Linked DNA regions of Alligator mississippiensis. The protein of the gene in region 2 interacts with the protein of the main gene of each other region in a pairwise test. Links are inferred from orthologs where the notes say so. Each region holds a gene or a part of one and is shown on either strand. Other genes may lie near its edges.

What was found.
Region 1: the proteins of LRRC7 (region 2) and NQO2 interact in a two-hybrid assay, tested with the Homo sapiens proteins (2 studies listed by BioGRID). The two-hybrid records come from large-scale screens. The link is inferred for Alligator mississippiensis from reciprocal best matches to the Homo sapiens genes LRRC7 and NQO2.

The regions. Positions count from the first base shown.
Region 1 is NC_081826.1:121,013,439-121,028,741, reverse strand, and holds the start of NQO2 (ribosyldihydronicotinamide dehydrogenase [quinone]), read right to left. Parts: upstream 6,549-15,303; 5' UTR 6,324-6,548; intron 6,187-6,323; exon of another isoform or gene 6,036-6,186; intron 6,023-6,035; 5' UTR 5,955-6,022; intron 5,719-5,954; exon of another isoform or gene 5,449-5,718; intron 5,420-5,448; exon of another isoform or gene 5,314-5,419; intron 2,944-5,313; exon of another isoform or gene 2,895-2,943; intron 2,764-2,894; 5' UTR 2,639-2,763; coding exon 2,611-2,638; intron 1,025-2,610; coding exon 854-1,024; intron 1-853. UniProt on the Homo sapiens protein: The enzyme apparently serves as a quinone reductase in connection with conjugation reactions of hydroquinones involved in detoxification pathways as well as in biosynthetic processes such as the vitamin K-dependent gamma-carboxylation of glutamate residues in prothrombin synthesis.
Region 2 is NC_081828.1:19,138,463-19,153,688, reverse strand, and holds the start of LRRC7 (leucine-rich repeat-containing protein 7), read right to left. Parts: upstream 6,975-15,226; 5' UTR 6,680-6,974; intron 1-6,679.

The DNA.
Region 1 (15,303 bases), on a different chromosome or scaffold from region 2:
GCTGGGGCTGCTGCAACCCGGCTCAGTGTACTGTGGTTTGGGCTAATGTGCAAATATGGGCCCAGGAGCTTCCTGGGAGTGATAAACTGAGGAGCAATAAACTCTACAGTTTATTACTGCCTCCTAATGGCATGTGTAGATGTGCCCGCTGTCAGCTGAGCCGAGTCATAGTATGGCACTGTATTTTTATTCCTGAGACTAGAATATCAGGGCTGAGAGCCAGTTTTTCAGAGGTGAAAGCCGTTCTTGATAACAAAAAGCCCCCAAAACAGCCCACTGATGAATCAATTTTAAGTTTAGTATGATCACCATTGTTTCTCTCCAAATTTTTACTAATATCACTAATATAGGGATGGCAGATTTACTATATTCCATTAGAATTATTTATACCTGGTGGATGACAAAACTGGTCTATGCACATGGATTATTCTCAGAAAAATCTATTATTGCACTGATGATTACATGGTTTGAATAAAGGTGATAACACAAATATCAGCAAGCTATAAGAAACATTCATGCCCAAAGGGACTAAATTAAGTTAAAACTTACATTATATAGAGCCTCCAATCTATTTAAGCTAACGGGCCCAAACTTGCTACTTGCTGTAGTTAATAAAGAAAAATCTCATAAAACTCAATAGCGTGTGTTTGATTCCTAGATTAGCATCATTTACAAAATGTCCACAGGAAGAAAGAAGTAGGGTTTTACAAATAGCTATTGCTTTCTACCAAAAGCCTCCTCAGCTGTTTTACAGATAGCATATGATGTTTGCATCAATCTAGCTCTGGCAAGTAACGTGAGATAAATGAGAGAGTTAAATGTTTTTTTTAAGATGTACTTCAGTCAGTCTCACCGACAATGTCATTCCTTGTGGCTCTTGGCTCAAACTCCATTGAGTAGAGATCAGACACTGTGACACTGCAGCTCTGTTTGCTCAGTTCTTCCACAGCAATATTTTTTAAGGACCCATTCAGAGACTTGGGCTCTTGATGAGCATACACTATGAGTACTTTTCTCCCTGGAGCTGAAAAAGAGAGAGATGTGTTAGTGAGATACAGATTTTAAATAATGGACAGTAAAAGGGCCCTGACAAGTAGCTCAAAGTGAGTAATTGGTTAATTATAATAATTGCATTTAATACCCATTATGTTATGGTCAGGGATAATACAAATAGGCAGTGGCTGCAGTGCAGGAGGGGTCTGTGGAACTCGAGGAAGCGGCCAGCCAATTTTGTAGGTAGATCATGGGACCAGTCACCATTTTCATGAGCTGTGTGGTGGGGACCCCCACGCTTCTGATTGGCGGAGGGGCCTTGGTAGTTCTGCCCTTCTCTGCAGATTGCCACATGGTCCAAAACTGCATCTTAATTACCCTAATTAAGCCCAGGGAAATCATTAATCCAGGTGTTATTAAGCATAGCTTCCATGGTCTTAATTAGGCTAATAAAGCCACAGTTTCAGGTCATACTCAAGCAGCAGGCTCCACTTTTGGCAGGCTTGCTGGGGTAGGGGAAATAAAGAACTTACTGGCAAGCAGAGAAGCCCTGCAATCTTGGAGCACCAGACAAAGATGGAGGCAGGGGGCTGTACCTCCTGCTGTGAGCAGCCTTGCCCTGCCCTGCCCTGCCCTGCCCTGCCCTACCCCACCCCACTCCTCCCTCTGCCTTCTCCCCCATGCTCCAAGACTGCAGGACTTCTCTGCTTGCTGTAAGTCATGTAGTTTTTTTCTGTTTGTTTGTTTTGCAGTGAGCCTGCCAAAAGCAGAGTCCACCCAAAATTGCAGTTTCCACAAAAAAAATTACACAATCATAATTTTCGTAGGTCTCTATTAATTAGAAATTGCTGTGCTGAGGGGCAAGAAGACATCAAAAACTGCTACGTGTTCCCCGAGTGTAATGCTGTAGTGCATGGAGTTAATAATTAAAATCTTCTTGCTTATTTACACTGGCCTGGTGAACTGAGTACCTGTGGCAGAACCAGAGGATGAATAAATACACCAGATCCCCATCATAATGAGGATAAAGTTAGAGCTTTCATGTACAGCCACAGCTATTGACTTCTATCCCTTTCCCAAATGCCACTTTAGTCAGTCAGACATAAAGAAGCAATGTTTCTCAATCTATTGACTAGAGTGGAATACAGCAGCATCCTATGTGAAACTATGGATCAGCTCTGCCAACAGGACATTATAATCACCAAATGTTATGACCAAATACTATTATAGACTTAATACAATTATAAATCCATTAAAGTTTTTTACTCACTAAATTATTCAAGAATTTCAGTGAAAGTGTCACCCATTTGCTGCTTAAGAGGCTGATTGCTAAGCCTTACTCAGAGAATGGTTAAGGGAACTCAGTGATTAGAGTGATCTGGTATTCAGGGCCTGATCCTTTAAGATTTGACAGCTTCACTTGCCAGGGAGCAGAGGGCACTCAGCATTGTAGCTTTGAGGTAAAATTTTCAAGGGCACTCAAGCCCGGTGGGACTAAGTGATTTAAGTATTTAATGTTACTTCAGGACCCTAACAGAATACTCACTTAACTGAGACATTTCTGAGTATCCAGTGTGCATAGTTCTAGCTAATCAAAAGAAAACAAACTCTTCTTACCTGCCATTTTCTGAAAGCACTGAGTCATTTTGTCTTTTTTGAAAATCCAGGATTGCCCAGAATTTCAAATTAAATATTTGCTCGCATGAGAAGTGCAATCACCAGTGAAGATATCACTTTTCCTCTTAGTACACCTTGCTGAATATTTGAAGCCTGAAACAAAAAGGGGGTTACAAACAAATCCAGTGAGTATGCCAATCCACAGACTGCACCAAATCTACAAGGAGAATGAAGATGTGCAGTGGTATCCTCTTACTCCTGGTCGAGTACCTCACTTCACTCACTTGGACTGACCTTGCTGCAGCTACTTTCAGGGAAAAACATCTTTTTCCCACTGAGAAGCATCACAATACACAGCACAGCCTGAGGATTAGTGCAGCCCAGCTTTTTGCAAATCAGACCCTCCTACCTGCCAGCTGGGACCTGTTTTAGCAATATGAATTGCAGATGGATGCATGACTCACTAATGGTAAAGTCAACAAGTATAGACTAACAAAACTCTTGGATTAGAGATGATATCTTTTGTTAGGCCAACTAAATGGTAGCAAAAACATTTCTTTCTTTGCAAGCATTTGGGTCCAAACACCCTTCTTCAGGCTGTGGAGAATTCAAAGACTGTAAAAGGTCTCTCAGATAGAAAATAAATTTAATTTTGCACAGGGGATATAGAGAATGTAAGTTTTTTCCCCTGGGTAACTCCTTTTGTGAGAGAGTTGCTTTCTGATTGTTGATTATTAGGCAGGCTTTATCCCTGGAGGTGTCTGGTATCAGTCAAGGAGGTGAAAAAAAAATCCTCTTTCTTGGCTAACAATGAAGTTTACATTTCCAAATGGTGTTTGGAAGGAGAGTGTTGGGAACTGAAAGCTTGCAAAGAAAGAATTTTTTTTTGCTACTATTTAGTTGGTCTAATAAAAAATATTGTCTCCAACCCAGGAGTTCTGTTTGTCTATAATTCTTAGATCAGTACAGCTATAACATGTATCCCTGAAAGTCAACAAGTGTTTTTTACATGTGCCAGCTGTGAGTTCATATTTGTATTGACCCAGTATACTCTAGCTGCTCTGCCCTGTTCCAGTCCATCTTTAAACAGACTTTAGCTGGTTGGTTAAAACAGCATTTTACAACTTGTTTTGCGTCAGTCTACCTGAAGCAAAACATACATTAAACTGATGGGTGTTGCCCAGTTTTCTGATAGTTTTTCAAACTGATTGCAAAAATCCTTCACAAGAAACAAACAGCCTTGACACATGGTGGAAATGCATTCTCATTGAGCACTCATTTTGTCTATTACACCAGTACTGAAATATGTGTTTCAGCCTCAGTCTCCCCCAAAATGCTCAGCCTTTGGCTGCAGGCTGTTTGCAACCAAAACACTGATTCTTTGGGTCTGTGCATAATTTACTGGCTGAGTGGCTACTTCTAAGGATGTGGAGAAGCTTGAGAGAGTCCCCAGAAGAGCCATGCGCATGATCAGAGGTCAGGAAAACAGACCTTATGACGACAGGCTGAGAGCCATGGGGCTCTTTAGCCTGGAAAAGCGCAGGCTCAGGGGTGATCTGATGGCCACCTATAAGTTTATCGGGGTGACCACCAGTATCTGGGGAAACGTTTGTTCACCAAAGCGCCACAAGGGATGACGTGGTCGAATGGTTATAAACTACTGCAAGACTGTTTCAGGCTGGACATAAGGAAGAATTTCTTTACTGTCTGAGCCCCCCAGGTCTGGAACAGTCCGCCATCGGAGGTGGTTCAAGCACCTACATTGAACATCTTCAAGAGTAAATTGGATGCTTATCTTGCTGGGATCCTATGACCCCAGCTGACTTCCTGCCCCTGGGGCAGGGGGCTGGACTTGATCTTCTGAGGTCCCTTCCAACCCTAATGTCTATGCAATCTATGAAATTCTAGGAGTACTGCTCACCTAGATGCATTAAATTCTAGGAGTAGCTGCTCACCTAGATGCATTAAAGTTTTCACCAGCTGATCTTCTTCTGCATTTGCCTAAATTCACAGGCTAAATTAAGATGTTATTCAGTATGAAAAAGACTGCTTTTCCCTGCAAGTAGCTTCACTGAGATCCATGGGAAGTAGGTGGAATGAGATACTTCCCCAGAGGTAAGGAGGTTACAATTAGGGTGGACATCATAGACGACAGTCTGGTTGTCCTCTGTCCTCTATTGACATGAAACCCGATGCCTTTATGTCCTGTATTTTTCTCTTGAAAAGGTCCCATGGACCACAAAGGCGTCGGGTTTCATATCAACAGAGAAGAGAGTATGATGGTCACCCTAGTTACAATCCAGCCCCTGGAGTCCTGTTTAGTACTAGAGTATTTCAGGAAGTGAGGACAATTATGAAATAAACTGTTGTGTGTGCAATAACCACATCGTTACTTCGTGAAACATCCTGATACGTGATACCAGCGTCACTGCAGCACTGCAATAAAATGTGCTACGCAGCCTCCGGAGGCAGCTCTGACAACGGGCAACCCTTATCTAAACTGCCACAGGAAGAGAGTGTGCGTGCATGTGCGCCGGGGGAGGGGGGATAAGCCTCTGTCTTTCACACAGCCTCCTGACTCCTCCGTGTCACAGCTGGTCAAACCATCCTGCTGATGATCTAGAAAAATGGCCTACCTGTGAGAAACCTCTGCAAGTCCCCTCCCCTCTAGACCTGGCTACACCAAAGGACCTGGTCCCTTACCTCCATTAAAAGCTGCCTGCTATTTTGCTCTCCCTATCACAAGGCGAGAAGCGCTTTTTTTTTTTTGTTGGCCCACCAAGTCCTGGTTCCCTGCCAGGCACCGCTGCCTGCCGCTTTCTGCGACTCGCCCCTCACCTGCTCCCGGGCGCGGCGCGGCGCGGCGCGGCTCTAGGCCAGGCGGGCGGGGAGTGCCCGCTGGAGCTCGGGGGCGGCGCGGCCACGACTAGCGCCTGCAAGCGAAACCTTCCGGCGCCGATTTCCCCTGCTCCCCGTGCCGGCTCCGCCTCGCACCAATAGGAGAATGCTGGCAGCTCCTGCCCCCAGCACCAGCCTGTCAGGGGGCTGCTTCTGTATCTCTCCTGCTGCTGTCTGAGCCCGGCTCGTCTCCCCTCTCCTCCCCGGCGCTGTGCTCAGGCACTCCCCGGACACACGTGCACCCGCCCCCCCTCTACACCCCGACTTCCACACGCACCTCTTCCATACCTCAACACGCACGCACACTCCCCTTCCATAGCGCAACACATGCACCCCCTTCCGTATGCCTCCCCAACACACACACTCTCTCCTCCCATACCCCTCCCCAACACACACATACAAACACACACACACCCCTCCCCAACACATATTCCTTCTTTTCATACCTCATGCCTCCCAGTGCTCCACAGTCACCACCAGACATCCATGGGCATGTGCATACAGGCATCCAGACCTAAAAGACATACCCGGAGGCTAAGATTACTGCTCTGAATACCAGAACTCCTCCAGGGAGGGTGTGCATGTGAGTTGGCATGTCAGATGCACCCTCAAAGCAGGTAAAAATTCCCCTCTCCCACTCTGGGCTCAGAGGCATGTCTCCTTCTCTCCCAGCTAGAGCAGGCAGGGGCATCTCTAGAGCCTCCCTTAGCCCTGGGGGCAGTAGGGGAAGCAGAAGCTGGTAGGCTGGGGAGGAGGGGAAAGGAAGGGAAGGAGAGGGGACCTGTCTCTGAGCACAAGGGGGGAGGGATTCTTACCTGCTTTTAAAAAGTCCCTGGATGCTCCTGTGATGACATCCAGTCAAAAAGGGGTGTGTGGCTGCACCACTGCAACCCTCCCCTCAAAGAAAAAGAAATCATAAATATTGGCTATGTGGCCTGCTGTTCCATCTGTTCCATAATCTCTACTCAGGCAAGATGAGCATTATCAAACAAAGACAGCAAATAAAGATAGCTAAATAAATATTTACTAATAGCTTATGATTACTTGAGGTATTTATATCTTATGCCTGCAGACAGAAGGACTACAATTACAGATCAAAAGCCTCAATCTTATATGTATGTAAGTACTTTGTTTACTTCCAAATGGCGTTTGGAAGGAGGGTGTTGGGTCCTGAAAGCTTGCAAAGAAAGAATTTTTTTTGCTACTATTTAGTTGGTCTAATAAAAAATATTGTCTCCAACCCAGGAGTTTTGTTTGCCTATAATTCTTAGATCAGTACACCTACAACATGTATCCCTGAAAGTCAACACGTTTTTTACATGTGGCAGCTGTGAGTTCATATTTGTATTGACCCAGTATATTCTAGCTGCTCTGCCCCGTTCCAGCAACCAACCCACAAATATTATCAATCTCTCCACACACACGCTTACCAAAACTGAAAAATCTGTCCTTTCTAAAGGTCTAAATTTCTGTCCAGAAAAATACCCTAATAAAATACTTTAATGTGGAGAACTAGAAGAATTCTTCCGATGCCTCCGCCTCAAGGAATATTTCCATGACCAAACTGAACCCACTCCCAACAACAACTCATCCTCTGACAACATTCAGGAAAGGATCAATGCCAAAAAACTCCAAAAACCATCAGATTGGACACCTCACAGTGGACGAAACCCTAACCTTGACCGCTAAATTGGCTGCTTCAGGGAAAGAATGAACAATGAAAAAATCAGCAACAGATGCCACCACAACCTCTCTGTACCAGAGAAAAAGGCCATAGAATCTCTAAGATCTAACCACCAAATAGTAATAAAACCAGCAGATAAAGGAGGAGCCATAGTCATCCTAAACCATGAGGATTACATAAAGGAAGCCAACAGACAGCTCTCTGACACCACCTACTACAAAGAACTACAAGAAGATCCTACTCCCCTTTTCACCAAAAAACTCAACAATACCATCAAATCATTTCCATCAAGACTACAAGAAAAACTACAGACCTTGATCCCCATACTACCTAACCTGCAGACTTTTTACATGCTCCCTAAAATCCACAAACAAGGGAACCCTGGCAGACATATTATATCCAACCATGGGACCCTAACTGAGGAAATATCAGGTTTTGTTGAATCAATCCTAAAACCGCTCATCACCCAAAGAGCAAGTTTTGTCCAAGACACCACAGACTTTCCACGGAAACTTAAAAACATAGACCACCTTCCCAGCAACACACTCCTAGGCACTATGGACATTACCAGCCTATATACCAACATCCCACACCAGGATGGCATCCAAGCCTGCCTTACATATCTACAGGGACAAGATTACAACTCAGAATACAGACCCAAAGATATTACTGACCTTATACACTTCATCCTCATGCACAACCATTTAACTTTTAATAATCAACACTTCCTCCAGATGATGGGAACAGCTAAGGGCACCAAAATGGCCCCACAGTATGCCAACCTTTTTATGAGCCACCTGGAAGAAGAATTCTTCAAGGACTGCACCATCAAACCCTTGCTATACTTAAGATTTATCAATGACATCTGCATCATTTGGACTGAAAGCCTATAATCTCTGATTGAGTTCCATCAGAAATTCAACAATCACCATCCCTCCATCCGACTTTCTCTAGAATACTTCAGCACCAATATCTCCTTTTTAGACACAATGACCAGTATCCAGAATGATAAAATACAGACCACGTTATACAAGAAACCCACAGACCAACATACATATCTGCACAGAACCAGCAATCACCCGAAACACACCAAAAAAGCTGTGATATACAGCCAAGCCCTCAGATACCACCGAATTTGCACTGAAGAGAACACCCAGGATTGCCACCTCACCAATCTCAAAAAGGCTTTCACCCAACAAGGACACTCCTCCAGAGAGGTAGATCGCACGTTTGAAAGAGCCACCCAGATACCACATGAAGAACTGCTGCAGTACAGAAGAAACCCCCCCACAAATCACACACCGCTGGTTATGACATATCACCCTTCCCTCGAACCCATACGGAAAATGCTCAAACAATTGCAACCTATACTAGAAAGAGACCCTATTCTTAAAAAGATCTTCCCAGAGCCACCCATCCTAGCCTTCAAACAAGCACCGAACCTTGCCAACCTCATCACCAGAAGCAAACTTCCTCAAGCCCAGAACACACCAAAAGGATCCAGGCCATGCCATGACAAGAAATGCAAAACCTGCCAACACATCTCCACCACCCCCACAATTACTACACCCCACAACAGAGCCATCAGTATCCCTGCATCTTACTGCTGCACCTCCAGAAATGTTATATATCTCATCCAATGCACCAAATGCCCTGATGGAAAATACGTAGGAGAGACCAAACAACAACTGCACACCAGAATGAACGCACACCAGAAATCTATCAAAGACAAGAATACCCAATTACCGGTGGGGGCACATTTCTCTCACAAGACAACCACTCTCTCTCCAATCTCTCAGTCCTGATCCTCAAAGGAAACTTACAAAACACTTCCCAGAGACAAGCCTATGAATTCCACTTCATCAACCTCCCAGATACTAAAAATCATGGACTACATATAGACATTGGATTTATGACACATTATAACTTGCCTGCCATCTGACTCCCCAGGTATCTCTCCACTATTCATCTCCCTTCTTTCTCTTCCCCCACACTCCAGCCTGTCTCTCACCCACTGACTCCTCAATCTACATTTTCACTGACTACCTGTCTTGTATGCATACCAGCCCAGCCTCTGCCTTCTTTACTTTTCATTCCATCCAGGAAGAGCACACACCAAGTGCTGAAACCTCCTTAGCCTGATGAAGGGTTTTTGAACCCGAAAGCTTGCTTAATAATTGTTTTCCAACTATTTAAGTTGGTCTAATAAAAGATATCAGATTCACCCAAAGAACCTTGTTTGTTTACTTTGCACACACAAATATTTGCACTGAACTCAATGGGACCTGCTGTGTATAGTAACATTTAGCACTAGTGTAAATGTTTACATATAAACTGCCCCCATTCCTAGCTGCTGGCTATTAACTGAGAAGACCCAAATATCAGCAGTTTTAATCATTTCACTCTTTTATGTTGACCTGGATCAATATAAGGCAGGGGTGGGCAATTATCTTGGGCAGAGGGCTACTTACTGAGTTTTGGCAAGCCATTGAGGGCCACATGACAGGCAGCCCAGGGTAGATTAATATTAGTTTTCTAAATTTTTTAGGGGCCCCGCAGGCCAGATAGAATGGCCTGGCAGGCCGCATCTGGCACTCAGGCTGCATTTTGACCACCCCTGATATAAGGGCAGCACAGGCCCTCCAAGTTGCACTGCTGCGCCTTTGCCATTAGGTGGCAGGTGAGAGCACACAGCCCACCAGCTTGTTAGGTATAGCTCACAACAATCTTACTGCAGATGCACAGCCACAATGTCCCAGGGAAAAAGTGATAGTGCATTTTATCTGGCATACTTCAAAATGACTTGAAATGGGACGGTAGTCTTGTACATCTCTAGGGTCTGAAGGCAAAAAGCTTTCTCTTGGAATAAATGCAATGTCTGTTTACAGCCTTGGAGCTCTTTGAGGCCTATAGAGGAAATAGTTTTCACATTCCCCCAAATGCCAAGATAACAGTCAGGCCCCATGAAAGGGACAAGGCTTTGGGACTCAAAGATCCTTGCGCATCCCGTTCCATTCCAGGGCCAGTCACAATCTGGCTGTCGGTGGTTTGTAGAGAACAGCATCAGAGAAAAAAGACCAATGAAGTGGGAGGCTTTGGTATGATCACTAGTCAGAAGTGGGAGACAAAAAAGATACTGTGCTACTTAGCATTTGAATGGCCAAGTTTTGCTGAGAGTGTCTCTAGCAATTGTTGATATGTTGGATGCAGAAGAACCTGACCTAGCAAACCAAATGCTACAAAAGCACATGCAACACTGAATTGCTTTCAGCAAAACAGAGCTGATGACAAAGGGAAGGCACTAGCACACAGATCAACAAGCTCACGCTATATTCTACCTGTCCCTGAGAAACTTTTATGTTAGTTTTTTCCCTGTATGCATGACACTAGTTTGAAGGCACAGTTCAAAAGATGTGAGGAATAGTATGATGATACAGAATGCAGAGGAGGAGGAGATGAGACGTAAAAAAAAAAAAGAAAGATGTATTTTTCTGAACTTGGAGTTCAGGCTGGAAAGAGGATGACAGTTCTCTCTCATGACAACTTGCAGGTTTGAGCTTTCAACATTTGTTTTTGTTCCAGATTTCATTTTTGGTCCATATCAGACTGAAAACCAAACATTTTCATTAAAAAACTGTCAGAATTGGGCTGGACACGGACATTTGGGGAGGTTAGATTGTATTAAAGTGGATACCCAATCTCACTTAGGTTTCCCAGGTGCAGACCTTACATTTAGGGTGCTGAAAGAAACCGAAGGCGCTGACACAAGTGACTTTTTGTCATGCAGTTAGCTCCCTGAAGTGCTCTACAGCCATGCCCTGACAGAAGAGCATTGCTGCAGAGTGCTTTAAAAGTGCCCGATTGCATGACAATCTGAACCCCCACTATATGAGGGTCCAGATTAAGGTGCTTCAAAGCAGAGCACCTTCATTAACTTCTCTCAGTGCACACCCAGAGCAGGGCTGAGCTGATGTTGCTCAGCCCCACACCTGATGCTGTCTTCAGGGAAGAGAGACTGCAGAAACGCTGCTCCCAACTGGAGCTCAATCTCCCACCCCTGGGACCCTACAGCAAATGTCTGTTGGATTAGGGGGTTGCTGTAATTCAGAAGTGCCATGAATTACAGCGGGGAGCTGCATGCCTGTCACTGCCCTTAGATCTCTAGTTAGGTTGATCTAAGTGCGAACTGTACAGAAATTCAGGAAGGTTAGATCAGTCTCAAAATGGCCAATCCAATCTAGGTTAACCATACTTCAGAGGTAGTTTAACTCAGATTGGGTCCAGTGAGACTGATCTAACTGTACAGTTCCCAGCACTACCCCTAGCCCAGTACTGGGCTATTTTTAGCCTCCTGGCCCCTTCCTGTACCCCCAGATGGAAAAGTCCCCCACTGCGGACCAGCCAGCCTCCCCCTGCCTCACAGTCCATAAAAAACCCCAGTCCCACAAGCTGCGGCTAGTGCCATTTTTACTGGCATTTGCCAGTGCTGAGAGATGATCGATGTAAGTCAGGATTGGTTCAGTGTGGGGTTTGTTCATTGTGGGGTGGGGAGGATGGGGGGTGAAAAATAGCCCCTGGTCCTGGGGGTGCAGAGAACCACCGCCCACCACGCACCTAACCCGCCTTGCAGAGCCAGCAGCTCCCCCAATCCTGCCAAACCTCCCCTACCCCGTGGAGCTGCCAGCCCCGCATCTGCTTGCCTCTCCCCCCACCTTCACTTACTTCAGTCAGGCTCCTAGTACCAATGAATGCTAGTAAAACTGGCCCTAGGAGTTGTCTGTAGGATTGGAGGCAGTTTGGCAGCATTGGGGTGGATCTGGGGAGGGTCTGGGGGAGTTTGGCAGGATTGGAGAGCCACTCCAATCCTGCCAAGCCTCCCCCCCCCCCACTGCCTCCAACCCTCCTTGTTGCTAGCCCCCCCCACCAAACCCTCCTGGACCCCCCCAATCCTCCCTGTGGACCTCACTAGACCCCCTGATTCCTCCTAGCCCCCTTGCAGACCCTGCTTGCCCACGGACTCAAGCCCCTCTGCTAACCCTCCCATCCCAACTTACCTTAGATCAGGTGACCATTTTTAACCTGATTTAACCTCCACCCAAATTTCTCTGAATGTCTGTACATCACTGTTTTACAATGGAAAAGATCAGGTTTTTAATTTTGTTCTCTCTCTCTCTCTCTCTCTTCCTTTCTCTTGTCAGTAGTGACTACAGCATCCAGAAAGATAAACTTAGAAACCTTCTAGTAGGTACAGTAGTTAAGAGAAGGCATGACTGGAGCAACAGGCTTGGGCAGTGAGTAGGGCACTGTGAGCAAAAATAGCAGCAGCTACACTGCTGACCTGCCACTGCCACTGGCAACACAGCCACTATGCAGAAGTGTATAGGCACACCTCTGCTTCCAGTAGAGAACTTTTATTTGAATTCATACGTCTCCACAGACCATACTGGCTTGGATGAGTCAGCATATTTAGATGAAAATACATTTAGTTAAAAAAGTTCCAACCAGCTCAAGTTATTAATGCAAGTTTGTAGAAGCTTGTTTTAACTGTTCAAGCAGAAGTTTGCTGTTGCATAGCATTTTTCATTTATAAAGATCTCAGGATGGTTAAGAAAGGAAAGTTAGTGTCATTATGCTCCTTGCCATAGGGAAGCAGACACTGGGAAGTGCAATGGCTTCCTGAAAGTTACACAGTAAATTAATGGCAGGGTCAGAAATAGGATCCAGATCACCAGACCAGTAGCCAGGGCCACAGAAAGGTGTCACAGCAAAATTATCACATCTACTGGCCTTAGTGTCACTGAGGCCTGGAAGTACATTGAAGATCACCCCAGAGATACTCCCTCCAGGTCAGAGTTGTGGTACATTGTTAGTGCAGTAACATGAAGAAACTGGCATTGCTGCTATATTTCTTCCTGTGCTATATATGCCCTGTGAATAAGAACTTAATTCCTCAAGAACTTCAAATCAGTACCTTTCACACTAGCGTTCTCTTAAGGAGTAAAGATTGAGGACTCTGGATTATATGAGCTTCAGATGAATGCAGGGTGGATTTAATTTTTTGCCTGAAAGCTTGCATAGAACATTTTTTCCAACTATTTAGTTGGTCTAATAAAAGATAGCACATCTACCCAAAGAACCTTGTCTGCCTATGATCTCTGGAGTCACAAATCCACAGTCTGAGAACTGGAACTAAGCATCACAGAGATGCTTAATGGGATCTTCTAGACTGAGCACTGAGTCCTGGTGGGTAGAGTGGTTTTCTTTAATCTTTACTAACCTATAAAGGAGCCTCTGGGAACCCCATACGATTGGGCCCCTAATATAGTCCATGACCTGTTGACCTATTTATAAAACTTCTAAAAAGGTTTATATTGTCTCAAAAGGAATATATTGTCTCAAATAGTATATAATTAGAAGTTATAAACCATATTCCATGATGATATATTTGAGCTTTAACATATCTTAAATTAAAACTATGTTTGTTTTTGTTAAGATGCTTTTTTAAAAACTTAATAAAAAAATTAAATAAAAAAATCATTTAAGTAAAAAACAAATCCTTTTTTTAAAAAAAAAAGCATTGATATTTATCCACCCTGAATGAATGCCAGGTAGGTGGTAAAATTCAACCTGGGATAAATCAGCACTGAATCAATGGGATAAATCAGCACTGAATCTGAATATCTAAACTCACTTTGAGTATATGTATTTACATTTGTATTTCCTGCCAGGAGTGGAATAGAAGTTGTAAGCTGATTGTATGAGCAGGAAGACAAATGTTGCCTTTCATGGACCCAATATGTAGGGATCTATCTGTGAGCGAAAGGGATTTTCATGGGCCCTTGTGGTATGTGCAGCTGATTTTGTGGCCCTTCACTGCTGATTGACCAAGGGGTCCTAGTGGCCCCACTCCTTACCACTGATTGGGGAGAGGGGCACACCTACATGGCTGGTGGCTCCTTCTTTTCCCCTCCAGTGGGCTGTGAGACCAGGCTGTAGTGGCCATGAGGACTGCTGGCTCCCACTGGGGAGCTAGCATTTTATTTTGAGTACTTTTTTTTTTTGGTTTCATGGACAATGCCCAATTTCACGGGTTCCATGAAATCTGTGAAATCGCAAATTAAATAGTTCCCTACCAATAATATAATAAGCAAATCTAGAGAAGAGATATTAACTTAGCACAGTCTATTGCCTCCAAATCATGGCTGTTTTAGGGCCCAACTTTCAAAATTGCATGTCAATTCCTCTGATGCCCAAGCACACACGATCATTGCAACAGTCTGAGATCAGGTATCCTCAGTCTTATGGTCCATTACAACAGGTGATGGAAAACATAGACATAAGTCTGAGAGAGAAAGTCAGCTACAGCATACACTGAGCCTTACCAATATTATACTAGACTAATACTGTGCATTCAGAGTTCACTATTAACACAACATTTTTTTTGCTTATAATCAGAGGACACCTGATTTTGCAGTTGCTAATATGCAATGGGGCAGGGAAAGACATTGCTATATATTTCTCCATGTGATTTTTTAGTATGTACCTATGAAATGTAATGTACATCCCCAAATATTCTTCCAAAAATGAAAGTGAATTAGGACCTAACTATGATGATCCTTTAATTCAGTTTGGAACTCATTATGGCTATTTCTGTGAAAAATACAAAATGGCTAGGGACAGAAATTACACACAAACTGGTATAAGTGATTGGAAAGTGTTTCAGGTCTGTAACAGAACAGAAGTTCAGTGCACATAAACCGCTTTCAAAATGACTGAAACTGGTTTAATATAAACCTGGATGGACTCAGTCTCAGATCTAACTGATTTAGGTTAAATTGGTTTATTGAACTTCTGTGCCAGATCCCCTCTAGATACAAGTTAACTCACAGCCCCCCAGAATTCCAGGATGCTTTACACCTCTCCAGCTCTAGCACCCCTCAGCTTCTGGCCTGGACCACCACAAACCTGTGGCTGAATTTCCAAAATCAAAAGTGAATGTCTGTTCATTTGTTTATCATTTCAATCTATGCAGTTGAGATTAACTTGCAAAGATTGAATTGATTCAGCCTTGGGCTTTTTGACTGTCTATACTTAGCCAACATGCATAATGG
Region 2 (15,226 bases):
CTAAATGCAAGGATATAAATAAAATTCAGTCACCTTTTGTACAACGTCCTTGGCAGATTTAATGCTAACCATAACACAGAAACTGCTTACCACCTAGTAATAAGGCATCTTTCTGTTGACAATGGTGCTTTCTCCCTCTACATTCTCTTTAACATAAGCATCAGTACTGTCAGCTACTGACTCCATGCAAGCATCTATGTCTCCCTTTTGTCATGATTCTGTTCTTACTTGTCAAACTGTTCTTTTATTATTAAGGAGGCTTATAAATGTTTGGAAACTGTCTTACACAAATGAAAAATAGTCCCTGCCTGAAAAAGCTTTATATGGAAGCAAATACAACAAATTACAACAGGTTACAGGGATGGGCAGATGAGAACAGGATGGGTTTCAACAATGACAAGAGCAAGGTGCTACACCTGGGGAGGAAGAACCAGCAGCATACCTACAGGCTGGGGAACTCCCTTCTTGTCAGCACAGAGGCAGAAAAGGATCTTGGAATCATTATTGATGCCAAAATGAACATGGGCCGACAGTGTGGGGACGCAGTCAGGAAGGCCAACCACACCTTGTCATGCATCCACAGATGCATCTCATGCAGGTCTAAGAAGGTGATCCTCCCCCTCTGTGCGGCACCGGTCAGGCCACAGTTGGAGTACTGTGTCCAGTTCTGGGCGCTGCACTTCAGGAGGGATGTGGACAGCCTTGAGAAGGTTCAAAGGAGGGCCACCCACATGATCAGGGGGCAGCAGGGCAGGTCCTATGAGGAGAGGCTAAGGGACCTGAACCTGTTCAGCCTCCACAAGAGAAGGCTGAGGGGGGATCTAGTGGCCATTTACAAACTAGTCAGAGGGGACCAGCAGGCACTGGGGGACTCCCTGTTCCCCCGAGCACTACCAGGAGTGACTAGAAATAATGGTCACAAGCTGGCAGAGGGTAGATTCAGACTAGACATCAGGAGGCGCTATTTCACTGTCAGGGCAGCTGGGATCTGGAACCAACTTCCAAGCGAAGTGGTGCTGGCTCCTACCCCAGGGGTCTTTAAGAGGAGGTTAGATGCACTCCTCACTGGGGTCATTTGATCCCAGTACTTTTTCCTGCCATGGCAGAGGGTCGGACTCAATGATCCGCTCAGGTCCCTTCCGACCCAACCAACTATGAAACAAGAAACAATTGGACAAGATATCAAAATACAGTGTATGTAGCTTGATTTTTTTTTTAATTTGAGAAAAAGTAAGAGAAATGTAGACAATATTAGCGGTCCACTAGAAACGTTTCCTATAAAAGTAGGTCTCAACCTAGGAAATTCTGTTCTGTGGCCAAAGTGTTGCACCTAAAATACCTGGATTCTGCCACAATTTCTGTGACCTCAAGCAAGTCACTCAATGAGAAGCTCACTGAAGTCCACAGAAAGAATTCTAGCAAGCTAAATGGGTTTTGGATCAGGTTCTGGATCGATGCATAAAAGGGATATTACTTCTTTTCTCCTACTCCTTTTGATTCTTCTACTAATGTTAACTAAGTCTTAAAAATTGGGTGCCCCTTTTACTAGTTGTCAAATAAGGAATAAGAGAAAGCACCTGCTTCATTGGGGCCTCAAAGTTCTACTGTGATAAAAATGGAGAAAATATAATATCACCATTGATGGCAATATACACAATATACTGCCATTTAACATGTTAAACATAAATGTATAGCTAAGGTAACACGATTTCTTCCGTAACATTCCCTAGATGTTCCATTTGAGTTCAACAAGGTGTCAATAAAATTAAATACTAGAAAAACTCAACTCCTATATTCAAATAAAACTGCTTACAACACATCAGTGTTAGCTGAAAAATAGATCAAAGTAGACTTAAGTTCAAAGTTAAACCTGAGTCTCTGCCTTTAGCTTGTACCATTGTGGAAAAACAGGTTTCAAGCACATCAGCAGAAGTCAAAAGAAATCCATTCGCTGCCTATTTTCATAGGTATAAACCATTGTGACACCAGTGTGACTACTACAATTGATACTAGTGCGACTGAGAATAGACTTTGTCTGGTTATGCCCAAGAAGTTCAAATTTTCAATTTTTTGTTGGATTTTATTTTTTTAAATAACTTTTTTTCAAAAACTGACATTATGTATTTGAAGCTATAACAGGCAAGAATGACCTATTTGTACTCCATGCCAAAATTAGATATGGTAGTTTTCATGGAGCTCTATTTAAAACTTGAGCACCTCAGTGAAGGATAACAACAGTCAGCACTTCATCTCTTGAAAGTGCTGTACAACTGTTCATTAATCTAAAGAACTGGTACACTGAAGACTGCAGTAAGGAGTGTGCCTATTTATCAGTTTACACATTTTAATTATTGTTGCTACATTACCGACCACACTGCTTTAGCAACTAATTTTGAGACGCAAGCCAGATTTTTGTAGGCTGTCACTCACTGCCCAATCCCTTCTTAAAAAGAACCAGGGGTTAAAAAAAGAAAAGGAAAAACAATCTTCTTTTCACTGACATATGCTTTAGATATCATCCTATCTCTATTTTTTTTTCTTTTTCAGCAAATGGTTAGGTAGCCTTTCCCAACAATCATCTTCCTCTAACAGTATAGTGGTTTAGTCCACCTTAAATAATGCACTAATTAAATTACAGAAAATGTAGACAGACACACAAACCTACAGATCTTCATTTCTTTCTTTATGCCCCCCAACAGTTAACTGTTCCATTCTACATCTGTGTAGAAATATACTGTTCTTTATTGCTGCCTCTCCCATACGCTGTGTAGAAATATACTGTTCTTTATTGCTGCCTCTCCCATACGGTGGCTTATTCTCTTAGGACCAAGCATAGTATTGTGTGGAGTTTCACACAATACCATGCGCAACTATCTATTCTTTCCTCTCTGTTCTATCCTTCCTGATCTTTATACTGATGATTGGCATGTGTGTCCAACAGGCACACCCACTGCCTCTATTATGTATTTATAGTAGACCACTAATTTGTATTTTAAGGTAAAACTGCAGCCTCTATAATGTGATAAATTACACCAGAAGCAGGTTTTTCATCAAATGTCAAGTACAGCTTCTCAAATCTCAGATACAGCTTTTTTCCAATGGAAAAGCCTGCCCAAGGAAGTTGTGAAACCTCTTTCGTTGGATATTTTCAACAAGAGGATGGCATTCCAGGCATCAATACAGGATGCTTTATGCATCTAGAATGGACTCTTGAATCTATGCTGTGGGTAGGAGATGACACTTGATGTACTTTCAACCTTGTGATTCCAATCCTTGTACAGCTTAACGTCTCCATTACATTTTCATGGCTACCAACATGCGTTCTAAATACGTCTTAAATCCTTTCAAGCTAAACCACTGCTCTCTCAAACTACATGTGACCACAGCCTGAGAGAGAAATTTGGGGTTCTGGGACCTGCTTCCCCACCTCCCATTTTGGAAACAGAAAACAGATTATTTTATTTGAATTCTAAGCTGAATCCATAAGTTTTAAAATAAATTTCTAGAGAGTGTATATTTATTTTATTTACACTCATGTTACTTGCAATTCTCATAATTTTGGGGACCTGGTACAATTGTACCCCAATTTCTCATATACCCTACCTGTAATGGTCTATTAGATCCATTTTTTTATTCAAAACAAAAATGTTTTTTAATATATGACACATTTTCCCATGTATTTAATGGCACTTATTATATCAAAGTACAATTAAGAGTTACCATTTGTAAAGTTTACCCTGAATTAAAAGAAAGCCTTTTTCTAAGAGGTATGGAAGACAATGGCAATGGAAATCTCAGATATAGTAACATCTTCTGAGAAATTATATCTTTTTTAAATTATTTCTGCATTACTTCCTATAGTAAGAGACAAACTCGGACCCATCACCACAACCTCTACAGTCAAAGAGGGCCAAGAAAGCCTCGCTGCAATGTTGCTGGCAGATTTGGAAAAAAAAACATGCAAAGGATGTACATCCCCAAGGGACAAAGAGACCTACATGCTGAGAACTTATTCTGCTGTAAAATGCAGAAATGGGCTGGCTAAAGGAAAGAACCATGAGAATCAGGAGATTCTCTAACTTGCAGCCGCCGAAGCATTTACCGGGATCAAGAAGGCTACTTCTTCTGCCCAGAGACTGAAGTCGTCTCCCTGGAGCATTCCCACAGATGGCTAGTGGCTCATTTGGGATAGAAGAGAATTCCTTTCCCTGCCACTCAGGCATGTGGTCTAAACCTTAATTTTCCATGCTTATTATAAACTTCAAATGTAATGCAGTACTTCCAATTGTTTGGATACATTTTAAGATCACTGTATATAAACAGTTCTTTGCCCAGATATGAGGAAGTCCCTCCAATCTGAGATTTTGTGGTTTTATCATTACAGAATATTTTAAGAGAACTATATATGAAACAATCATCAAACTTTCTATTTAGGCTCCATTTATAAAAGGTTAATAATTAACAGAAATTTTCATAATTAAATTTGTTGATATACCTGACTGACAAACAAGTCAATAGATTGCTTATAAAGATGGATTTATACCATGAATCATACATGTTGCTCATGACTGTAACAAGCTTTGAGTAGTTCAGTTCTCTACAACTAGAACATCTACAAATACAATTGTCCATTTTTAGTACAAGTATTAGTATTATTTTTAAACACCTTTTATATACCTCCAGTTTCTAAGACGTGATCATGGTACTTTCATTAACTGATAACACAAATTACTTTAGGAAACATGCAGAGAAATATTAATATCTGTGCATGTGTAATTCAGTTTTAAGACTCTATTCAGTAAAAAACAAACACAACTACTCCATATTTCTGAGATATTACTTTCTTAACAGTAAATGATGTTTGTTTACACTTTTTTTAATGATCAGTTGTACAAATTAAGAATTGGCAAAGGGTAAAAGTGCCTATACACCCAGAAAGGGGGTTGTTCCCTGCAATTATAACAACTTTAAAAATCTTTTTAGTGCCTATCAAAGACCTGGATCAAAAGGCCCTCTTAAATTCATGCAGACCCTAAAATATAAATTGTTTGAAAAATGATTTTTGCTAGCAAAGTACAAAAACCTACCTAGAGGCTGTTTTTGCCATTCTTTGTCATCAAAATATAACAAAAAAGTATAAAATGAAATGCATGTATATACTAAAAGCAACATTGAAATTCTGGACAGAAATGGGTCAGTTTTCAAAGACACATTATTCCCATCAATGCATTAACATGGGTAGTGCTGTAATTAGTTTGACAGGTTAATGTTTGTATTTCTTTAAGAAGGTGCTGCTATTTCTGAAACACTACATGCAGTATAACACTTGATGTAGGGGTTGCCATAGTAAGGACATCTTTGCCTGAATATCAGAGTAAATAGATGCATAACACACCCACATACCTACCAATGCAAGTTATTTCTCTTGCTTGATCATGTAACAACCATAGAAACACTTGACGTGCAATGTATATGCATCAAATTACCATCTCTCATACATTATGACTATCTGTAACAGCTCAGGTTGGGGGGGGCGGGGTGGAATTAATGAATTGAGATTTTTTGGCTGGCTGCGACAGGACAAGTACAAAAGGAGAATTATAGGAATTTATGATAGTGATGGCTATGTTAGAAGCATCCAAGATGAAAATAATATGTGTGCTAATACCTATCTGCCAGACCTCAAGCCACTTTACATAGTAATCCCGCTAATTTAACCTTTCATTAGGCCACCTTCCAAGGGAAAGAAAAAAGGAAAACGTAACTAAACGTGCTAATTTCAACAAAGCGGGCTGCTTCTCTTCTCTTTTGTCCCACAATAAAGTCCATCCATAGAAGCCGATAGAGTATTTTTGGCACGCTCACTGGAAGGGGACCAGGCCCAGCGAGCCTAAACACAGGACCCAACCAACAATCCCCCCTCTCTGCAATCAACCAGTTGTGCAGGGATTTCAGCAGGAACAGGCTGGCTCAGGCTCGCCGTCCTTCGCCGGCTGAGGCTGTAAGAGCAACTACTCCCTCACAGCCCTAAGGCTCCACTTCCCCCTGCAGCCCCGGGTTTAAAAGGACAATGGCTTTATAAGGGGCATGACAAAGTCCAGGCCGCGGGGAGAGAAACGAAGCCTTTATTCCTGGCAAGGTGGCAACATCCCTCGGTCCACCACCTCGGCATCCCGCTGCGCGCCCAGGCGCTGCGACCGCGGGCACGGCCACGGGGCAGGAGGAGACCACGCCACCACACGGCCCGCGCGCGCTCCCCGGCAGCGGCATCTCCCTGGCGCACAGGGCGGGGGGCACACGGCCCGGGCCGGCCCGGCCGCCCCCGCTCCCCGCCCAGGCACCTGTCAGCTTCCCCCGCTCCTCGGCTGCGGGAAGGGACCGGGCACCAGCTCCCCGCCCACGCGCCCCGCCAGCAGCAGGCGCGGGCTGCCCCGGGCTCGCGGGCTGCCCGCATCTCCCAGCCCCGCCCCGCCCCGCGGGCTCTGCGCAGGCAGCCCCGGGCCCGCACGGCCCCACTCCCGCGCCGCAGCGCCTCCCGCAACCTCCCGCGTGCGCACGTGCGCCCCCGCCCTGCCCTGCCCTGCCCTGCCCGCCCGCCGCAGCAGGTGCGAGCCGCCGCCGCCGCCGCCGCCGCTCAAGGACACGTGCGCGGTCCCCCCGCGCCCCGCTCCGCACTCACCGCGGGGGCGGACGCCGTCCCGAGCCTGCAGCGATGCAGCTAGTCCCAGTGCCCGGAGCCCGCTGCCTCCTCGCCGTAAATCCCTTCCCCGGCTCAGGCCCCGCGGGCGGGGCGGCGGCGGGGGCCGCGCACAGGTGCGCCGGGGGCCGGCGGGGCCGGGCCGGCGGGGGCCATGGCGGAACGACGAGGCCGGGCCGAGCCGACGCCTTCCCCGGCGGAGCCCGCGCGATGCCTGGCCGGGAGCGGCGCCCGCAGCCGCGCTGCCTTCCCCCGCGCCGGAGCCGCACGAGCAGCGGCCGCCGTCTCCCGCTAGGGCGGATGCGCTGCGAGAAGTGCCGCCGCCGCCGCCTCCGCCCCCGCCCCCTCCCGCTCCGCGTCAGAGCCGTAGCGAGGAGGCAGCGGCCGCCTCTTCCCGCTCCCGCATCCTGCCGCTGCCGCCGGGAGACGGGGGTGGTGCCGCCGCCACCTGCCCCTGCCCCTGCCGCCGCAGGTGTCTCCTCCCCGCCCGCCCGCGGCTCGTGCCCTCGGCGGCGCTGCCCGCCTCCGCACCGCTCTGGGCTCCCCCTTGTCCCGCCACAGTAGGGCTGTTGCCTCCGGGCTCCCCTGGTTCCTCCTTTCCCCTGCAGGAGGAAGGAGCCCCCGGACTTGCCAACAAGCCCTAGCAGAGAGGATTGGGGTTGCCCCTGGACGAGACAACGTCACACCCTCCGCTGTGGGATGTCCTGTGTCCCCTGAAGTCTCCAGGACAAGCTACGGGACGAGCGGAACAAGGGAGCTGTGGACTCTCCATCATGAATGGAACAGGCTGCACAAGCCCCTGGCCTACGGGTGCAGACAGACGTGCAGCTCCCCGCTGTAGCAGAAGGATTTCTGCAAAGGGCTCTGAGCTATCATGTACCCCGACGGCACAAAGTTCACCGTTGGTCCCTGGGGGGAGGGAATCCAGCTGTGGGCCTGCAGCCAGGTTCCCATAACAACTGCCAGGACTGCTGTTTTCAGAACAGGAGGGGGGGAAAGCAGCGGAGGGAGCTCTGTCTTGGGGCTTTCTGAAGGGTGGGTGGGTGGGTGGGTGCACTGGAGTCTTCTCACATCTTGGGGGGGCTCCAAGACACCAGCCTACCTTGTGGAGGGGCTAAAACCACCCCGCCCCCCCTCGCCCCCACCACTGAATTACCTCTGCTCCCTTCCCCCCCCTCCCGTTCTGAAAACAGCAACAGGCTGGGAGCTCTGCAGACACAAGTTACACAAGATGCTACATTTTGAACAGTCTTTATCTGATGCCTCAGGCAATGAGGGGTCAGATTTTCACCTGATCGGACATTTTTTAAGCTGATTGCAGCTTTGCACTTGGGTTTGGTCACACCTATAAACTGCTTTCTGTAGCCAGACTGGGTGAAAATTGTCACTTCTGTCTGTACTTATGTTCTACCATGGGTATTTCCCATGCTCCTGGGCTTTGCTGGTTGCCCTATACTCCCCCCACCTCCTCTGCTATGTGTGTTGGGGTGTTTTTTATCCCTTCCCAGAGGCATTGGGTGTTGGATATAGCCTAGGGACCAAAGCCAGAGGTTCCTAGCTAAAGGGTTTTGCTCCTCCAGTCCAGGTCAGACAAACACCATACTTAGGGTCAGGAAGGAATTTTACTTCATGTTCAAATTAGTATGGACTGTGGGGGTGCGGGAGGGGTTTGCCTTCCTCTGTAGCTGGGGGCATGGCCCTCTACCCCCAGACCTCTTGACAGCCTTTCACAGAAGTAGGACGTTGGCTGCCATGGTTCCCCTATTTTGTGGCAGGTTAGGATATTATGTCTGTGTTGCATCTGGTTTGACAGAAATCTTATGTACGGTTTAGATTATGGTTCGTATGGATAGGGATGACCCCACAGCAGGCAGGGGGTTAGGTTAGATGACCTTTGGTGGTCCCTTCCAGCCCTACTTCTCTATGACTCTATGGCTGATTAGATGGACATACAGTCTGACCTAGTATGGAGCTTCCAGTGTTCATCTCACCCCAGTCTCCCCACACCCATCTAGAGATGACAGGTACATCTAAAACAGGTGGGCAAAATAGCAGATCTGGCCGATGGCTGGACTCCATTTCCCAGCAGCCTCTGCATGCATTGCTGCAGTTTCCATGGAGATGGGCCCCAGCAGCAATGGCAGGGCATGCAGCTGGGCAGGGAGCTGCTCCAGGGCCAGGATACTGCAGCTGTGACAGAGTGGTCCGGAGCTGCGATCCGCTGCCTGCACACCCCAGGTATCCCATTTCCCCCTCCCAGATCCAGGGAGTGTGGGCAGCAGATCACAGCTCTGCTCTGGCTCTGAACCACACTGTCACCACTGCAAGATCCCAGCCCCAGCTTCAGAGCAGTTCCCTGCCCAGCTGGGCGCCCTGCCAGGGTTGGGGTTGGTCTCCATGGAAATCCTGGTCCCATGCTGATGCCACCACTATTGCATCTCCATGGGAACCAGCTGCAGTGATGTGGGCTGGGGCTGCTGGGAAATGAAGTCTGCGGTGGGCCCAATCCAGCCCAGGAGCTGGACTTTGCCCACCCCAGTCTAGAAGGTTGAGCTGGGTAGGCTGCAGTCCTCAAGCTTTGTATACAGGTAGTATAGAGCTTCTGCCCCGTTGCATCGAGTTTCCTCATATGTTAAGACCATCCCTGAAATTTACTTGGTGAGGGGTAGATCTCATAATGCCAAACGCCAAGCAAATCTTTCCCTTCCCTGCCCAGTCCAGGAGCTTAAAGAACATCATTAATATCCTCTTCTCTGCCCTATTCCCTCCCACATACCTATCTAGAATCCTATAATGGCACTCACCAGTTTAATAGCTTCCACAGAATAATGGACAGTATAATGATATGCAATCAATTGTCAAATTTTCTTCTCCATTTTCCTCTAGGCAGCAGGGGACTACTTGTTTAAAGATGTTTCCTTCCTTTCCTTCTACCACTTTGCACTCTTCCCTGAAGGCAGTGAGATTTTTGGCCATTTTAATCCCTATTAAAATGTAAAGCTAGGGCCCAACTTCAGAGAAAGCTGTCTTGTGCTCTCACAAGCCCCCCTCCTAAGATTGACAGTACCCTAGTCCTGAGGAAAGTGTAACGTGCTGTTATGGAGAGACACTGTCTGAGGTATCTTGAACTTTTTCCATGAATGGCCCTGAAGACCAAGACTGAGACCTTCATCCTGACCTAGTTCTCTTTAGGGAGCCTACATGGTTGAGAAGAGCTCTTGGTTGTGATATACCTTCTTAGTAGCAATTATCCTTGGGAGAGGAATAGCTGCTACTAACTGAAGCTCTTTTAGAGCTGAAATGTTCATACTTAAATATAGTGGGCTGGAACAATTCAGCCTGAAGATCAGGGAGGTGTGGGTCACTGTGGCCATATTTGATAAGCTTCAGAGGTAAAAGCAGAGGTGTGGCAGTGTGGATGCACCCCCCATCTGCCACCTCTGCTGCAGCTCATGTCTGAACCAAGTTCAGGGGGACCCCCAGAGCCACTTCCACACTGCTCCAGCCAGGGACCGTGGCTGTGCAAGGTGCCAGGGGAGAGCAGCAGTGGCAGCACGCAAGTTTCTCCTTCCAGCTCCTTGCTTGCCCCTCCTTTGCAGGTGGTCCCTGGAAGCAGGCACTGGAAGGAGGAACCCATGTGCTGCCACCACTGTCCCCAGCTGATCTGGAGGGCAGGGAAGCCCCAGAGCTATTCCTGCTCCACTCTTGCCTTGGGCTGCAGGCAGCAGCTCTACAGGAAGCCAGGCTCAGCAAGGAAAAGTGGCAGCAGCAGAATGCAGGTTCTTCCTGCCCAGCAGTGGACCCCTGAGAGAGAGGGGCAGCAGGGAGAAGGCACTGGAAGGAGAAACTTAAGCCCTGCCTCTACTGCTGCCCGCAGCTGGGCCCAGGTCTCTGCACAGCTGCTCCCTGCAGCATGAGACCAAAGTGGTTCTGGGGCTTCACCCCTGCCCCTAGGTCAGCCAGGGATAGAGGCAATGATGGGGCCAGACCTCTCCCACTTTAAACACCTGCTCCCTTCCTGGCTCCCCAGTGTCCCTCACCAGTTCCAGCCATGCCTTGCCGCCATTCCCCTCTAGTCAGAAAGGTGGTATGGCACCCCCCACCCCCTTTAGGAAATCCTGGATCTGTCCATGATTAAATGGGAAGTCTCTCAGCAAATTGTAGAGGGAAAGTATGTTGTTTTCTAGCTATGGATATCTGCATGCTCAAGAGCAGTGTGGAACCATATGATAATCTAACTCAGTGAAGAATGGCAGAAGGCAGGGCAGGGTGGCACCTTAGAGACCAACTGGTTCATGGAGGCATAAGCTTTAGTAAGCATCAGCGTACGTCATCAGATGATTTCAGACTAACATAATTACCTACTCTCTACTCATGGTTGGCACTGTGCTCAGTGAGCAATGATATATTTGTGATTCCACTGGGTCTTCAAAACATCTCCCTTTCACCACCATCATCCTGCCTCTTAGCCCAAATTCAATTTAACCCAGCTCCTTATCTGGACAGGCAGATAAATATCTGGGATCTGGGGCTTTCTGCACTAGACTTAAACAAGATGGAGGGATATTATCTGCATATTATTGGCATTTGAGATCAGGGTGTCTCCCAAAGGTTTCATGTAAATTTTAAAAGTGTGGGAAGAAGACTCACTTTTGTGAAGAGCCTCAGGTGCATCTTCCAGCTGCAGAGGAGGAGTTGCCTATCACTACTTTTTATGAGTTCCCTGCAAAGACAGATTAGTGATCTCTCATCAGACTGTTCCTTCCCTGAAGAGAATAGACAATAGCAATGTTATGGCCAACAGCTCCATGGAAAGGAATACAGACATTCTGCCACTATCTGTGAGAAGAAGAGGTCATTATCTATCAGTCCTTGGGACACATGATTAATACATATGATGAGATGAAGCAGGAGGTCACTGTTTGTAGGTCTCAGGCAGGAGATAATTTAGCTTTGCTTTTCTTTAAGTTTGTATACTGTCTGCAAGGGCATTTGGGATCTTGCAGATTTATTGTTTTTGATGTGCAGATTTTGTTGGTGTTTTAATAGAGCAATTACTGCAGCTGGCAAGTTATTCTAGTGCGAACATCAGGCAGGTGCCCTTTTTAAATGCTAGTTTTGAAGTGTTTCAAAATCTGCTAGAACACAGGAACTGCACCTGGCATTCAACATTTTCTGCCCATCTCTGCTACTAGATAGAGCTTTTCTTAAATTTGATTTTATGTTTATGCTCCCCCCCCTCCCATTTTTTATCTCCCCACAAGTATGAGCCATAAACTGGATTGATATTAAGGAAATATCCTGTTAAAGAACAAAAGTCATTCTGAGGACATTTCATAGTTGGTAGGGTTGGTAGGGTTGGAAGGGACCTGAGCAGATATTCAAGTCTGACTCCCTGCCATGGGCAGGAAAGAATGCAAATCTCTTTCTCAATGAGATTTCAAAATGGCTTGGTTGCAGTGTGGACAAGAGTTAAGCAATGATTATAGAAAAAATGTAAGGCCATTAGTATTCTATGACAGTTGTACTAAACCAGCAGCTTGTTCCTGGAGCCATTTTGCTTTGGAGGGGAGTTGGACATGGATAGCTTGTCTATCTTTATCAGTGGCAGACCTTGAGATTAGGACTGAACATGTCAACCCATGTCCTGCCCACCCAATTCTGTTACTGCATTTCAGAGCCCAGGTCAAAGAGTGTGGGACCATCAAAAACCCCCAGCAGAATTGTAAGAATGGACAACTGTAGCCAGTGTCATAGCAAGGTGGGGGTGAGTGGGGCAACCGCTACAGACGTCAAAGTGAAGGGTCACCAACAGGTGCTGCTCAGCCAGAGCGGGGTGTGGGACGGAGCTGCAAGTGGCTTGTTTGGGTGCGGCGTGGGGATGGGGGAGGGCAGCTCCCGCTGCTGCGTGCACTCCCAGGCAAGCATCGCAGAGATCTGTGCATGGGGCGAGGGTGGGCTGCTCCTGCAGGCTTTGCTCCAGGCATCAAACTTCCTTGCCACAGCACTGACCATAGCTGTGAACTAATGCTTGGTGAAGGAGGCGATGGTGTTTGAGGGTAAGCCTAGAGGCAAGGGTCATGGTCCAAAGAACTAAGGGCAAAAGGCTGCAACTGAGCAGGTCGTTCAGCTGATAAGAACGGAATGGACTTACCTGATGAGGACTGAGGAGCCCCAAGTCTTGCAAGGCTTACGGAGCTCAGGAAAAAGAGAAAGAGTGAGGGGAAAAATCAGGATTCCCTCATTAGGAAGTGAGGATCAAACTAATAACCTAGCCACCTGAGAGCAGTCTCTAAATCTATCATTTTAAACATCAAAGCATGGCAGGCGAGGTGGGAGAGTGCACTAGGGTTCCAGGGAAAGAAAAGCAGGGCTCAAAGATCCCAGTCGGCCTGATGGACCCCAAGGCCCCAAAACTCTATCATACTTTCTCTTGTAGATATCAACAGTTTGCGTCTAGCAGCCAGCTTGAGGTTGACAACAATCACAATTATTCTACTGTAGACTTGGCCTTAGTTACATAATTGATTTCATATTGTTCATGGGGATTTGCTAGGCTTGAAAAATCAGCATGTGTCTTCCCCCATCAGCCCACAGTCACCCACACAAAAACAGTTATGGAACATTCTGCTACCTGAAATATAATGCTTCCCTAGGCAACCATCCATTCTGCCTGTAGGGTAGTACCAGCCTTGATTTTGTACATGTCCTATGATCCCACCAGAGTTACCTACATTTCATAACTAAAGGAATTATTATCTGTACATGGGATTTCTTTCAGCAACAGAAGAAAGAATAAACCTTTGCTTTTAAATTCTGTTGTACATAATGTCCTATACAGCTTTAACTAACTAACATGCTAAGCAGCATGCATAGAGCATGCGGCGCACACTGCCTTAACATGATGTGCAGAACATAGTTCAGCCAAACATCTTTTAGAAGGAGGGGTCTGAGTTAACATGGCACAGTCCCACATCCTCTGTACTCACTCAAGACCCATCCTGATGTAAACCCCATGCAACCTGACTGCTGCAGGTTTGTGAGAGCCAGGAGAGAGTTTCTCCATGGTATCATCTCCCTGGAAACAGAAGAATTTTATTGTTAGCTCATTAGCATTACCCCAGTTACCATTATCCTATACATACTACATTCTTCAACATCAAGGGAATGTTAGAGCAAGTCTGAGCAGAGAGGCTACAGAAATGTATCTCCTGAAGGAACCATGATGACATCCATTGACAAGAGAGTCTAGTATTAGTGTGGAGTCATTGGCCTCTCAGCCTATATTCTGCAGGACATTCCCAAAAATCTCACAAGACATCACATGGTTGGAAGGCTTTGCTTCTTACCCAAATGAATGCAAATCACAGACAACTCCACAGCAAAGGGCAACTACTGAGTGAGAAAAAGTCAGAGCTGTGGGCTGGATCAAGATGTGCAGGCACGTGCAGTTTGTGGTGCCACAAACCTCTTTGCTATGTGTCGCAGGGCACCTCGGTGCTCCTGCTCCTAGAGAGGGGAAAGCTGCCAGGGAGAGAGACCTGGCAGAGCCTAATGAGCGCAGCTGCAGGTTGCCAGCGCAACTGATGAGGCTCAGCTGGCCAGAAGGGGGCAGGGCCTGGCCTTTATAAAGCCCAGGGCTGAGGCCAGGCTGGCAGTTCCCTGCCAGCAGCCAGAGAGGCAGGAGTTCATGAGGCTTAGGTGCGGGTATTGCTTGAGCAGGCTGAAGGATGGTGGCTCTGTGGTGCAGGAGCTATGTTGTTGCAGCCAGGCAGCCTTGAGTTAAGTTACAGCCAGGAGGCTTGTATTTTGTTTGGTTAGTGTATGTATTACAAACCGGAGGCTTGGGTGAGGCTGTAGGGGTTGGAGGAGGCCTCATAGGGACCCCAGAGAGTGTGGGGGCCCCAGCGCCTGAGGAGGGCGCAGTGTTCTCGTAGGGACCCCATAGGGGTGGGGTGCCCCAGCGCCAGTGAGGGCACAGTCTAGCGCCAGGAGGGTGCATTATTCTCACAGCGCCAGTGAAGGTGCAGCTTACGCGCCAGTGCAGGTACAAGTGGCAGTGAGGAGCGCAACCAGTGGGTTGCGGACGGGGGACACGGACCCCAGGCTGTGTGCAGGGTACATAGACCCCAGCCCCAGAGACAGGGGCAATTTTATCAGGGAGCCCAAGGTGGGCACAGCAAGCCCCAAAGAGGGGGAGCACCATATTGGTCTATTGAGGAGCCCAAGGTGGGCACGGCGAGCCCCGAGGAGGGGGGAGCGCCATATTAGGGAGCCCAGGACAGGCGCAGCAGACGCCAGCAAGGGTGTCACTTGTGGGGTACATAGACCCCAGCCCCGGGGGGGGGGCGATATTGAGGAGCCCTAGAGCGGGGCGATATTGAGGAGCCCAGGACAGGAGGAGCGAGCCTGGTAACAGGCTAGCACCGTGGAGAACCCAGGACAGGGGAAGGGTGCTGCGGTGGACCCAGACAGAAAGGGTTAGCAGTACAGCATCCCAGAGAAGGGCAAGGTGCTGCGGTGGCCCCC